Linked DNA regions of Cricetulus griseus. The protein of the gene in region 2 interacts with the protein of the main gene of each other region in a pairwise test. Links are inferred from orthologs where the notes say so. Each region holds a gene or a part of one and is shown on either strand. Other genes may lie near its edges.

Region 1 (6,250 bases), about 110 Mb from region 2:
GGCTCAGTGATCAAAGTTTCTACGGCTACACTAAAGGTAATTTTAAGGCTAGTATTACAAAACCTTATAAATTTCCAACTGGGTTTAAATAAGATTTTAAACAACTGTCCTTTTACCTACTGAATTACATGCCTTCTCATATACTATTATGCATGTTGAGAATCACTTATCTCATGTATTTTGAAAAAGTGATTCAGATTGCAGAGTTGCTTACATTTCAGAGTATTTGCATAAAGTTTCATTTTCCTGGTGAGCTCACAAATTCAAAACTACAAAGACCCAGACTTCACAGTATTTGAGATTTGGGGTTTTCATATTAGAGATACTGAACTCATGATAGACTTACAAATAAATCTCAACAGAGAGGTCGTCAGCAAGACTATAAGTCTAACACATCATCTGGTTACATCTCAGGTATCCATGGTGTCGAAGGGGAATCAATACCTTGGCCCCTTCTGGATAGTAGATACCTAAGTTTGCGAACCTTTTAAAACAGCATCACACTTGTACATGATCTGCAAACACACAGCCTGTCAAATACTTCGAATTATGTGGAAATTATTTATAATCCTTACTACAATGTAAACATTCTGCGAAGGAATATTATTCCTTGCTATTTAGTAAAAATAATACAGAACTAATACATGCTCAGTATAGATGTATTCTTTCTTATCCCCAATATTTTCAATTCATGATTAATTAAGCCTGAGATATAAAATCTGCAGATTCAGAAAGCCCACCATACTTCATTTAATGTTAGTTATATACAAATACATCTAGGTATCAAAATGCAGTGAGTTTTAGCACTGAGAGAGTAAACAATTTGCAAACCTCGTATAAAATGTGTTTTCCTTCAACCTACCCGAAAATTATCTGGAGAACTCAAGTGAAGCTTCTCCCTAATGTCTTCTGAAGCCCCAGCACACAACCTGTAAAAAATATGGTAATTCCGCTCCTCTTTGCCTTGAACACAGATCCTAGACTTCTCTAGGAGATAATGAGAAACGAATCCTCCAACAACTGAACTCTAAAAGACAAAACAGAAAATACATTTTTTGCATCTATGGAACTGAAATATAACTTAATGTTAATTCAATCTTTTCTAATAATCATTTGCTTAGCAAAGAAGTCAAAAAATTTATCAAATATTACAAAAAAAAAACTAAATGTAAGCTCAGAGTATTTCTACAGCTCATCCTTCATTTTAAACACTGTTATCATCCGGTCTCCACCCTGATCCCTTCTAGCTTTTGAGCCTCTGCAGAATCAGAACTGACTTTGTGGTCGGCCCAGTGTCCCCAGCAGCCCACTGGGCAGCTGCTGAAGAGCTGTCAGACTGCCATCAAACTCACCTCATGCTGAGAAGACACTAACTGCTCTGATGTGATCCTCACAGACTATACAGATCCACAGATATACACATCACTATGTACCATGCTGTGCCCGTGAACATGAACATTATTACATGTTATCAAAACAATGAAAGAATCAAGTATGAGAAAAAATTAACTACAACGCTATGATTGATAACGCAGTCAACTCCAATATTTTAATTTAAACTGAATAGAAATTCTGAAGTCACTGTAAATGCACACAAGCACACACACCATAATAATTACAATAATAATCATAGTAATAATCTTAGGAAGAACTGTGCTAATTCCAATTCTAATAAGACCCTTACACTTACCACAAACACTCCCCTAATGTATCCCAAAAGCAGCTTTCTTTTACCTTTTCATTGAAGTGAATTTCCACAAATTTTCCAAATCGACTGCTATTATTGTTACGAACAGTCTTTGCATTTCCAAAGGCTTCTAAAAGAGGGTTAGCTGTTGAAAAAGAAATGAAAATGCTTCACCAGAAAAATCACGAGAAAGGCATGAAGAGAAATTATAAAGCAATATACATATTACATCTCCACAGGGGAAAATTCGGGGAAAGTGATGGAATAGATGCTTTTAGAAATATTAGTATGGAAGAATTATCCAGCAATGTCAAATTCCACAAGTGTGAAATGTTAACCCGCTGTCATGGTTTTATTTTTGATTGACAAGTGGACAAGGTCTAACGTCATCTATGAGACTAGCCTCTGGCACAGAGAAAGACAATAGGTTAATAGATCAGCATGAAAGTAATATCTGAGCAAATATTTATAGGAGGTAGAAAGTCTCTTCCACCTCTGAAAGAAAAGCATTGTAGGTCTCAGATAAGATTCTTCTAAGTTAACTTTAGAGGTACCCAACATTAAAAAATAAAAATCAACAATACCTTCAACAATTCTATCATCAATATCTTGACCAGTTCCATAAGATTCTGTCAGGTATCTGTTTAAAATATAGAATTTTAAAAAACTGAATAATATTCAGGACAATATATTTATAAATTTACTATTTAACATATATATCAAACTGAAACATGGAACATGGATCATCATTGTAACTGTTTAGTATTGTTTTTAAATTTTTTTATATTTTTATTTATGCTTCTGTATGTGTCTTGTGTGGGTATGTGCAGGTCATGGAATTATATGTTTGGAAATACTCTGATTTTTAACAAATTTTCAACTAGATTTACATAAGTATCCCATTAACTATTTAACTTAATAACTCTATACACTTCCATAAGAAATAGAAACCTTCATAAAGAACCCCACCATGAAAAAACTAAGAACTGTAATAAATTAGAAACAATACTGATAATAATTCAGAATGTGCTGGTCCTAGCAGTATCTTCACCACTGGATTTAACTTCCTTTGGTATGTGTGATGATTGGCATTGATCATCAACTCCATAGGACCTAGAATGACCTAGAAGACAGGTCTATGGCCACGTCTGTGAGGGATTGATATTTGTTAGATAACTGAGGTGGGAAGACCCACCCTTAGCATGAGTGACAGCATGCCATGTACTGGGATCCCAGACCATGTGGAGAAGGTCTAACAGGCTAAGGACAGCACTCACTCATCCCTCTCTACTCCCTGACTGTGGGTGGCTTCAATGTGACCAACTCCTGCCAGCACGCCTTCTCCACCATGGTGTGTTTGAACCCTTGAACCATGAGTCAAGATGAACTCTTCCTCTCTTGATTCCTTCTTGTCTGATATTTTGTCACAGCAATGAGACAATTTACAGAATTTAAATTAAAGAATAAGACTATAGTCATGTGGCAATGCTCCTTCCACTTTAAAAAGGTTGTGGCTATACACCACGTGTTGAGAGTTTTGTATAATGGTAGAAAGGGGATCTGATGAGAGAGGGATAAGAGGAAGTCTAAATAAAAAGTAGTTTCAAATATATTTCAAAGCACCAACATTGAGAATACAATGGAGATCCATAGCCAAGCGCCAGGCCAAGCTCTGGAAATCCAATCAAAGAGAGGGAGGAGGGATTATATGAGCAAAAGGGGTCAAGAATGAGACAGGGGAACCCACAGAGACAACTCACTTAACTTCTGGGAGCTCACTGACTTTAGACTAACAGCTGGGAACCTGCATGGGACTGAACTAGGCCCTCTGCATGTGGGCGACAGTTTGGTAGCCTGGTCTGTTTGTGGGACTCCTGTCAGTGGGACCAGGATCTATCCCTGGTACATGAGCTGGCTTTTTGGATGGAATGCCTTACTCAACCTCGATGAAGGGGGGATGGTTTTTGTCCTGCATCAACTCAATGTACCAGGCTTTGTTGACTCTTCACAGGAGGCCTTACCCTTTTTCTGAGGAGTGGATGTGGGGTAGGTTGGGGGGACATAAGGAGAGGAGAGGGATGAGGGGAGAGAAGGTGAACTGTGGTTTGTATGTAAAATGAATAAAAATTTTAATTAAAGAAAGACAATAGAATGTCCATTTGGATTTTGAAAGAATATTCCTGGGTTTGTCACTGCCTATCAAGCACTAACTTCATATAGAATCCTCCAAGAAACAACACATCAGAGCCAGCTATCTACAACAGAGAGATTGACTTCCACGCTTCTTTCTTCCAAACTATTCCATACAGTATACAACAGTATTAAAAGTCAATCTGCTTAAATACCCTGTGATTACCCCTACACACACACACACACACACACACACACACACACACACACACTCAAAACTGCACTATTCACAATGGCCAAATAACAGAAACAACCCAACTGCCTATCAATACATGTACAAATACAGCAAATAAAATAAATTCCTGCAATGAAATTTATTCAGCCCTAAAATTCAGGAAGGAAATTCTAATGCATACTATAACATACTATAACACTAGTGATTATATCTTTTTAAGAGTCAGGGTCTTATAAAGTTTTTTAGGCTCCTATGCCCTTGAAACGAAAGTTATCTTCCTGACTCAATCTCCTAAGAAGCTGAGGGTGTGTGTGTGTGTGTGTGTGTGTGTGTGAATTGTGTGTGTACACACATAGGTGCATGTCACTATAACCAGCTCAAACGTGAGTGAATCCCATATTAAACTAAATGAAACAAAGAAGTCACTGAAAGACTAATACTATATGATGCTGCTTAAATAGGTACTCAGAGAAACTCATAGAAACCCAAACAGGAAGTAATATCTTATTTATGTACTATTTAATGAGTACAGCATCTGAAGGAGTAATAGTTTATTCATGTGCTTTGTACAGTTCTGGGTTTTGTGAGGTGAGGAATAGAAACAACGCAATGACATGAATGTGACGATGTGAGTGTGCTTAGCATTGCTGAACTTCAAAGTGGGCAGTCGACAAACTTAGTGGTAAAGCTTTCTTTTACTACTGCTCAGAACATTTCAGATCAGCTAAATACTCACCTTAGAACAAACTTTGTATTTTCTGTTTTGCCAGCTCCCGATTCTCCAGACACAATGATAGACTGACTCATCTTGAGCACCTTCATGTCTCGAAAAGCCTTGTCAGCTGGAGGCAAAGTAAGACAGTAATACAGCAAGCTGAGTCACTGACAAGAGTTTAGTGTAAGGGTCTTTACTCCTAAAGAAGTCATGAATGTGTGTTAAAAGTCATCCAAAGGTTTCTGTAAGCATTCACTTGCAATGTTCCTAAAAGACAAGTAATAGGAAATCCGAACATCTCAAGATTGTGCTAGAGTGTTAGATTGTCTCCACATTGACTTTGGCTCAGCTTGCCCAAATGCCAGAGCAGATCTGCAGAGGGAAAGAAAATGTTCAGTGTGCATAACTAATGAGGTCCCCAGTGAAAAACAAGAAGCAATGAGTTTCCAATGAGAAATTTGGCAACTGAATCCATTGTGAGAGAGAAAAACAACTGAAAAATAAATCTACAGAAATTATTTCCAGCTCCATCCACTTGCCTGTAAATCTTAGAGTTGCATTTTTGCTAAAGCTGAGTGAGGAAACCAAACACACAAAGATAAACATCACATGTTTTCTCTCACTTGTGAGTGTTAGCCTTGAATCTTCAGATGTGTGTGTGTGTGTGTGTGTGTCATTTGGAATAACCATAGAAGTCAAGACATAAGTAGGGGACCATTAGGAAGTGGGGCTTTCAGGGGAGGGGGAATAGGATGCAGTAACATAAAGGGGAATAATGGAACAACAATGGTTAAATGGGGTAGGAATGGGAAAGCAGAATAAAAGAGGGAGGGGAAAAGGGTGAGGAACAGAAGGGCAGGATAAAGGAGGAAATATGGGGAGAGATAACTCATGCTAAAGACTTCCTAAAAGCAGTCATGAAAATCTACTGCTGCAGAAGCTTCCTAAAATATAAACAGACCCTCTAATGGAACAACAATGTCCCCACACTCAGAAAGACAGATATCCTACATTTTCTCTCATGTAACTTGAAAGCAGAAGGGAGACTAACTTGTGAAGAGGAGGGTCCAGCAAGAAAGAACAGAGGGACAACAGAGGATAAAGAGGAGGATATGAGAAAAATGCATGACATAATTTCCTATGAAAATGTCATCATGAACTCATTTTTGCACAGCAAACACAAGCTTTAATAACTCATAAACAATATCTCACCACAAAAAAACATTTAAAAAAAATAGTTGCAAAGCAATTTGTCTCAAGAAGACATGTGCTATACATACAAAAAAAATAGCTTTACAAATGACAAATGGCTTTGGCTCTAAGAATAAGCTACAAACAATATTGCATGGGTATTCCCACCAGCCCACTGTGATGCAAAGTGATACTGCTGGAAGGCAGAGGAGCCTTTGGGAAGGAGGACCCAGTAAGAGGCCCTTGGGTGACTGGATACACACTCTGACAAGGTGGTTTCTCACCTGTTCCC
Region 2 (6,250 bases):
AGAGGACAGAAGAGGGCATTAGATCTCCTGGAACTGCAGTTACAGATGGTTGTGAGCCACCATGTGGGTGCTGGGAATCAATCCAGGTCCTCTGGAAGAGCAGCCCCTGTTCTTAACTGCCGAGCCAGCTCTCCAGCCCCTTTTTCTAGATTCTTAAGGTAAAAACTTTGGGACTTGAGACTTCTTTTTTTCTATTAAACTTTAATGGTATAATTTCCTTCTTGCTGCTATAGCTGCTTTCCACAAATTTGAAATGTGTTGTCCTTTTATTTTCATCCAGCTCAAATTGTTTTCTCATTTTCCTTAAGACTTCCTCTCTGGCCCACCAAAGACTTAGATGTAACGTGATTTTCAAGATTTGAAGATTTCCTTTTTATAACTGTTACTGCATTTATTTTATACATTTGTTACATTTTATTTATTCAGTGTACGTGCACTTACGATGCAGTGTACATGTGGAAGTCAGAGGATAAGATTAGTCGTTTCTCCATGTGAGTCCTGAGAATCCAACTTAGGTCATCAGGCTTGGCAGCAAGCACCTTTACCCATGGAGCATATCCCCCAATTTTCCCACTTGTCTGTTCAGTGTGTGCAACTGCCACAGGTACATGTGGAGGTCAGAGGACAACTTGGAAGAGTTGGTTCTCTCCTTCTACTTTGTGAGCTCCAGGGAGAGCTCCAGGCTGTCAGCCTTGGCAGCAGGCACCTTTGCCTACAGAGCCAACTGGGTGGCTCCAATTGGAAATTTCCTTGTATCTTTGTGGTATGGACTTGAAGGCTAATTCAATTATAGGGGCCTGTGAGATGATTGTTAAGATTATAGGTGTTTGCTGCCATGCCTGGCAAATACGGCAGCCCAGGCTCTAAACTCACATCCCTCTGCCTATGTGTCAGGCACTTTATGGACCTAACCATCTTCCCAGGACCTAACCCCTCCTGAAAGTCAGTTTTCAATAGTGTGCTTAGATTTAGGTGTGCTGTTTGATTCTGCTCTTCTGATTCAGTTTGCTTCCTTCCTTAGGAATACTGTTGTCAGTTGTGTGTTTCTCTGTGGTGGGTGTTAGTGTGTCCTTTCTGTTACACATTGGGGCAGTTCAGGGATTTCATCACGTATACTACCTTTTGGGTCAGCTTGGAATCAGCATTTCCTTCTGGGTACTGGGTCCCTCCTGCCTGACGTTGTTGTGTTATTTATATCCACATCCATTGAAAAGCCTCATCAGGACCTGGGGATGTAGCACAGTGGTAGAACACTTGCTTAGCATGTATGAAGCCTTGGCCACCATGACCAAAAAAAGAAAAAAAAAGAAAGAAAAAATAGTGCAATGTGTTTTACTTTCAATCATCAAACATTTTAAGAAATTCACAAGCATGAGCTAGGGGTGAAGCTTAGTTGGTAGACTGTTTACCTAGCATGCATAAATACCAGCACCCCATAAAATGGGCATGGTGGTACACAAGCTGTAAGCCCAGCACTCAGGAGTGGAGACAGGAGGATTAGAAGCTCAAAGTTATCCTTGGCTACATAGCTAGCTGGAGGCCAGCCTGGGTTACATGAAACCCTGCCTTAGCACACACTCATGTCCACGAGCACATGCCCATGCCCACACACAGTGGGTGGCGTGCACTCAGAGGCTAGCAAGATAGCTCAGTTGTGAAAAGTGCTTGCGCCCAAGCCCAGCAACCCAAGTTCATCGTCTGGGACCTACATAGAGAAGGAGAGAACTGACTCCCACAAATTGTCCTGACCTCCACATGTTGCCATGGCATATCCCATACCCTCCAGAGAGGAAATAAATAAGTATACAAAAGCAATATGATAATTTTTGTAAAAAGAAAGAAAACAACTCAAGGCAAATGGTTTTCTATTCAACCTAAGGTCCTGTCTGCTTTTGTTCTGTCTTCAGCGCAGGTGCTTCCGGTTCCTATCTGTTGTCTTGACAGACTTAGAGAAGTTCATTCAGCTTTTCTCAGCTCCCTTTTCTCCTAAACCACTGACAAGCTTCATCGCATACTTACTCCTGGAAGATACTTTCTCAGAGCATAGATTCTGAGTTGACATCTCTTTGCTGTCAGTATTTGGTCCCACTGTTTAAACTTTTTTCACATAATCCCAGTGCTTATGACCTTTGGCACCTGTGTGGACAATTTCTGCTGTGCAGTGAGGTTGTCCTGGCTACTTGAAGGCTGGGTCACTGTAGATTTTGTGTCTTCCCATCATGCTATGGGGCATCTGTCTTTTCAGGGTGGTGCAGAGTGCTGCTATGTTTGTCTTAGGCCTTCACAGCTGGCTTCAGGCCACACGCTCCAGCCAACCTCCTATGAGCTTCGGTATTAGTACTAGTTAGTTCCTCTTTCCAGTCTGTGGCCTGGATGTACCCACTGGCCAGGCTAGAGCTTGGTGGCAACCCTGCATCCCCCACAGTCCATTGGTGTACTGTTTGGGGTCAACTCAAGGACAGAACCAGAAACTCCTCAACACTGGTTGCTTTTTTGAATTGTCCTTGGTGGTGTCCAAGTCTGCCACACAAGGAAAGAAATCATAAAACATCAGGGGTACTCTTCAGAACCAACCATCAGACTACATGGGTATGGGGTGACAGGAACAGAACAGAGACAAGGAGAGAAAGGAACCTTGGGGTTATCCTGCTCTGAGGATTAGAAGATCCCTTCTTTTCCTAGATCCAGAACCAAAGTCTTCTCCGGCAACCCTGTCCAAGCCAGGGCATTCCAAAGGCAATGTGTCTGCCGAGCAGTGTCAGTTTGGTGCCACTTTGGAGTCTGGGGCGCTTCCCTGCTGCTTGTTCATTTTCTTTTCAGAGGTTTCAGGACTGTCTCACACAACTTCTGCAGATGCTAGAGCCGCATTCAAGGGACCATATATGGCAGGACTTTGTCATACATAGTGGCACGGGCCTGTAATCCCATGATTCAGGAGGCTGAAAGGATCAAGAGATTAATGCCAGTGTGAGCTAGATAGCAATTTTGAGACCTCTCTGGGTTACAGAGTGAGATATTGTCTTTAAAAATGAAGAAAGAAGCCAAGTGGTGGCAGCAACACATTTAATCCCAGCACTCAGGAGGCAGAGGCAGGTGGATCTCTGTGACTTCAGGCCAGCCTGGTCTACAGAATGAGTTCCAGAACAGCCAGGACTACATAGAGAAACCTTATTTTGGAGAGGGGGGGGTGGGGAGAGAAAGGAAAGAGAGAAAGGGGAGGAAGGAAAGAAAAGAAAAGGGGCTGGAAAGAACTGGTCTTTAATGCACACCTTTAATCCCAACCATCTGGAAGCTAAGGGGCAGATAGATAGCTAGAGTTTGAGACCAGTCTGGTCTACATAGTGAGGCTGTGTCATAAGGGTGCTGGAGAGATGGCTCATGGGTTAAGAACAGGGCTGCCTTTGCATAGGACCTGGGTTCCCACCTCATAATCATCTGTAACTCCAAATCCTGAGGGCCTGATGCTTTCTTCCTCACATAAAGTAGATAACTCTTTAGTTCACCTCATGCGATGAGCCTGGGTGGGGTCAGATATTTGGGCTCTAAAAACTAGAATTTTGTTTGGCTTTTCAGGAAACTCCCACCAAAGAGCTGGGGCACTGCGGAGGAGAAGCGCATGGTCCTGGGCCCAGCAGCCCAACAGCATCCTCAGGCTCACCCTACCTGGGCAGGTGCATGAATTCGGAGAGCTCCACAGATGAAGAAGGTATTTGATTGTGCTGTGTTGATCAGCTGCAAAGGCAGTGGAAAGGAACATTATTCGTGGGGGTGAGGTTTTGTTTTGTTTTGTTTTGTTTTGTTTTGTTTTGTTGACAGAGTCTCACTCTGTAGACCAGGCTGGCCTGGAACATAAGAGAGGTTCCCCTATCTTTGCCTCCCAAGTTCTGGGATTAAAGATGTGTGCCACTACACCTGACTAACACTAACATTGTTGGAAAGGATCATGATTTGTTTTTAAATGACTTCCCCTGTGTCTCTGCTCTGCCATCTGTTGGCGGCTTGTGTCTGAATGCCCTGGGCTCCCTCTCCTTATCGTGAGTTGATTGCGTAAAGTGATAACAGGGTGATGCTCTTACTGCAGGTGGAGGCTTTGAATGGGATGATGACTTCTCCCCTGATCCTTTCATGTCCAAAACAACAAGTCTTCTGGGCTCTAAGCCTTCTCTTCAAAGCTCCAAATACTTTTCTCCCCCACCACCGGCAAGGAGTGCAGAGCAGAGCTGGCCACACGTGTCTCCCTGCTCCAGGTTCTCCATCTCTCCTGCCAACATTGCCAGCTTCTCTCTCACACACCTCACGGACTCAGACATTGAACAAGGAGGTGAGAGGGGCCCTTCATGTGCTGGGGGTGGGGCCACGCCAGAGGGATGGTGCTTTCAGCCAGGAGTGCTCATCTACCCTAGACCCAAAGGAATGGTGATCTGATGCTATTTTAGTCTTTCCTGAGTAGATTATAAATTTGCTTGAAAATTCTTTTTGTGGTGGGGGTGGTTCCTTGGGTATACTTAGCACATTGTTCTACCTTTGAGGTACATCCCCTCACTAGGTTATTCTAGACAGGTGCTCTACCACTGAGTTACACCCTAGCCCCCTCACTGGGGGATTCTAGGAAGGGGCTCTACCATTGAGCCACACCCCAGCCCCTTACTGCTTTACCACTAAACTTCATCCCCAGGTCACTTCTTACTCTTGGTTTTGTTTTTGAGACAAAGTCTCACCAAGTTGCTCTGCCAATCTTGTATCTAGTTTGGCCTTGAACTTTCAATATTTCTGCCTCAGATTCCCATGTAGGTGAGATAACAGGCCTGGCGTATCTCTCACAAGCTTGACAGTGCATATACAACCACACTTCCCCCATTTAGAATCACCCCCAATGCTCATTTCTGTATAACCCTGCTGGCCCAGCCCCAGAGATCTTGGAGGTCCTGGAGAGGGCTCTGTTTTCTGTCCCCTTGCTGCCAGTCCTGCTTCCTCAGGTCACACTTCTCTCCCAGAGGAGCTCCCTGCACAGGCACCTGCTCTAGGCACACTTGACCTGTGGTTTGGATTGGAGCCCAGGCTCTCTGTCTCTTCCCTGGCAGTGTTGATTTTGCCATTAAGTCTTGGTCTCCATGCGATACCAGAGGGCCAGCTGGGAGCTCACAGCAGGGGCCAATTTGAAGTAGCAATACCTGAACATATGGGCCCCTTTCCCTATACCAAGATCGGAAGATAAATGTTAATAGGTACATTTTTTATTTGAAGTTTACAGATCAAATAATAAATGTAGGATATAAAGTGCTTTTATTTGTTTACATAGTTTTCACCTGTGCCGGTGAGATAGTGCCTGTGCCTAAGGATCTCTGGGGGCAGGTGTACGGGTCAGGCTGGTTTACTTCAGTGCTCCTGAGTGTGGCCATGGAGCCACTGTGGGAGCCAAGCAGCTGTGTGTGCAGAAGCCTGCAGGCTGTGGCATGGAGAGACGGACAGGGCAGCACGGGAAGGCATGAAGCAGCCAGATACCAGCTGCAGTTCCTTTTCCTACTGTTCTGGTCTGGTCATCTCTGTGCTGTTAGTATCTGGGTATTCAGTTCTTAAAACTGACCCTCTTTGTCATGTTGCTTCTGTCTGGGAAATAGGCAGCAGTGAGGATGGAGAGAAGGATTAGACGGCTGTGGACACTCTCCCAGCCCAAGCAGCGTTCCTGCGCATCCGCCTGAGCAACAACATCAACTCCTTGGTGGCTGCACCAGACAGTGAAAGGCTCAGGAATGACGGGGAGCCGAGCCACCAGGCCAGGAAGCCAGCTCCCTCTGCAGCCCTTGCGGCACTGCTCATGCACTACAAGTGCCCTGTGCTGGGCGTCCCGTCGAGGTGGCTGCACTGCCACAGGTCTTTGGCACATGAGTGTTGGGGGACCTGTGCACCCCAGGTCATGGGTCTGCTTTCCGTGTAGGTGTCTTCCCCACCACACCTGTGCCTCTAGTTTGAGCACAGGTGCCACAAAGGGGGTTCACCAGGGGAATGGGCACAAGGCGAGCCATATTTATTGTTTGTAAGGAAATCACTAATTGCTCTCTGACTGCACTGTGGGTGAGTGTTTGAGCTCCCAATATTGTACAGCATCGTAAATTATACGAGGAAAACATGGCAGGCCAAGATGGTGCTGTCCACTGGTTTGATTTTTTTCCCTCCCTGTCTTCTCCCGTGTTTACCCTGCATGGTACTGTAAAGCTTTGATATTTTGAGTGTTGTGTCTTGAGACCTGTGG

Evidence for each region.
Region 1: the proteins of Lmtk2 (region 2) and Myo6 interact in a two-hybrid assay, tested with the Homo sapiens proteins (2 studies listed by BioGRID). The link is inferred for Cricetulus griseus from reciprocal best matches to the Homo sapiens genes LMTK2 and MYO6.

What each region holds. Positions count from the first base shown.
Region 1 is NC_048597.1:191,155,594-191,161,843, reverse strand, and holds part of Myo6 (unconventional myosin-VI), read right to left. Parts: intron 4,895-6,250; coding exon 4,789-4,894; intron 2,328-4,788; coding exon 2,272-2,327; intron 1,833-2,271; coding exon 1,735-1,832; intron 1,028-1,734; coding exon 863-1,027; intron 1-862. UniProt on the Homo sapiens protein: Myosins are actin-based motor molecules with ATPase activity. Unconventional myosins serve in intracellular movements. Myosin 6 is a reverse-direction motor protein that moves towards the minus-end of actin filaments.
Region 2 is NC_048597.1:80,614,970-80,621,219, forward strand, and holds part of Lmtk2 (serine/threonine-protein kinase LMTK2), read left to right. Parts: intron 1-3,573; coding exon 3,574-3,706; intron 3,707-4,081; coding exon 4,082-4,321; intron 4,322-5,618; coding exon 5,619-5,647; 3' UTR 5,648-6,250. UniProt on the Homo sapiens protein: Phosphorylates PPP1C, phosphorylase b and CFTR.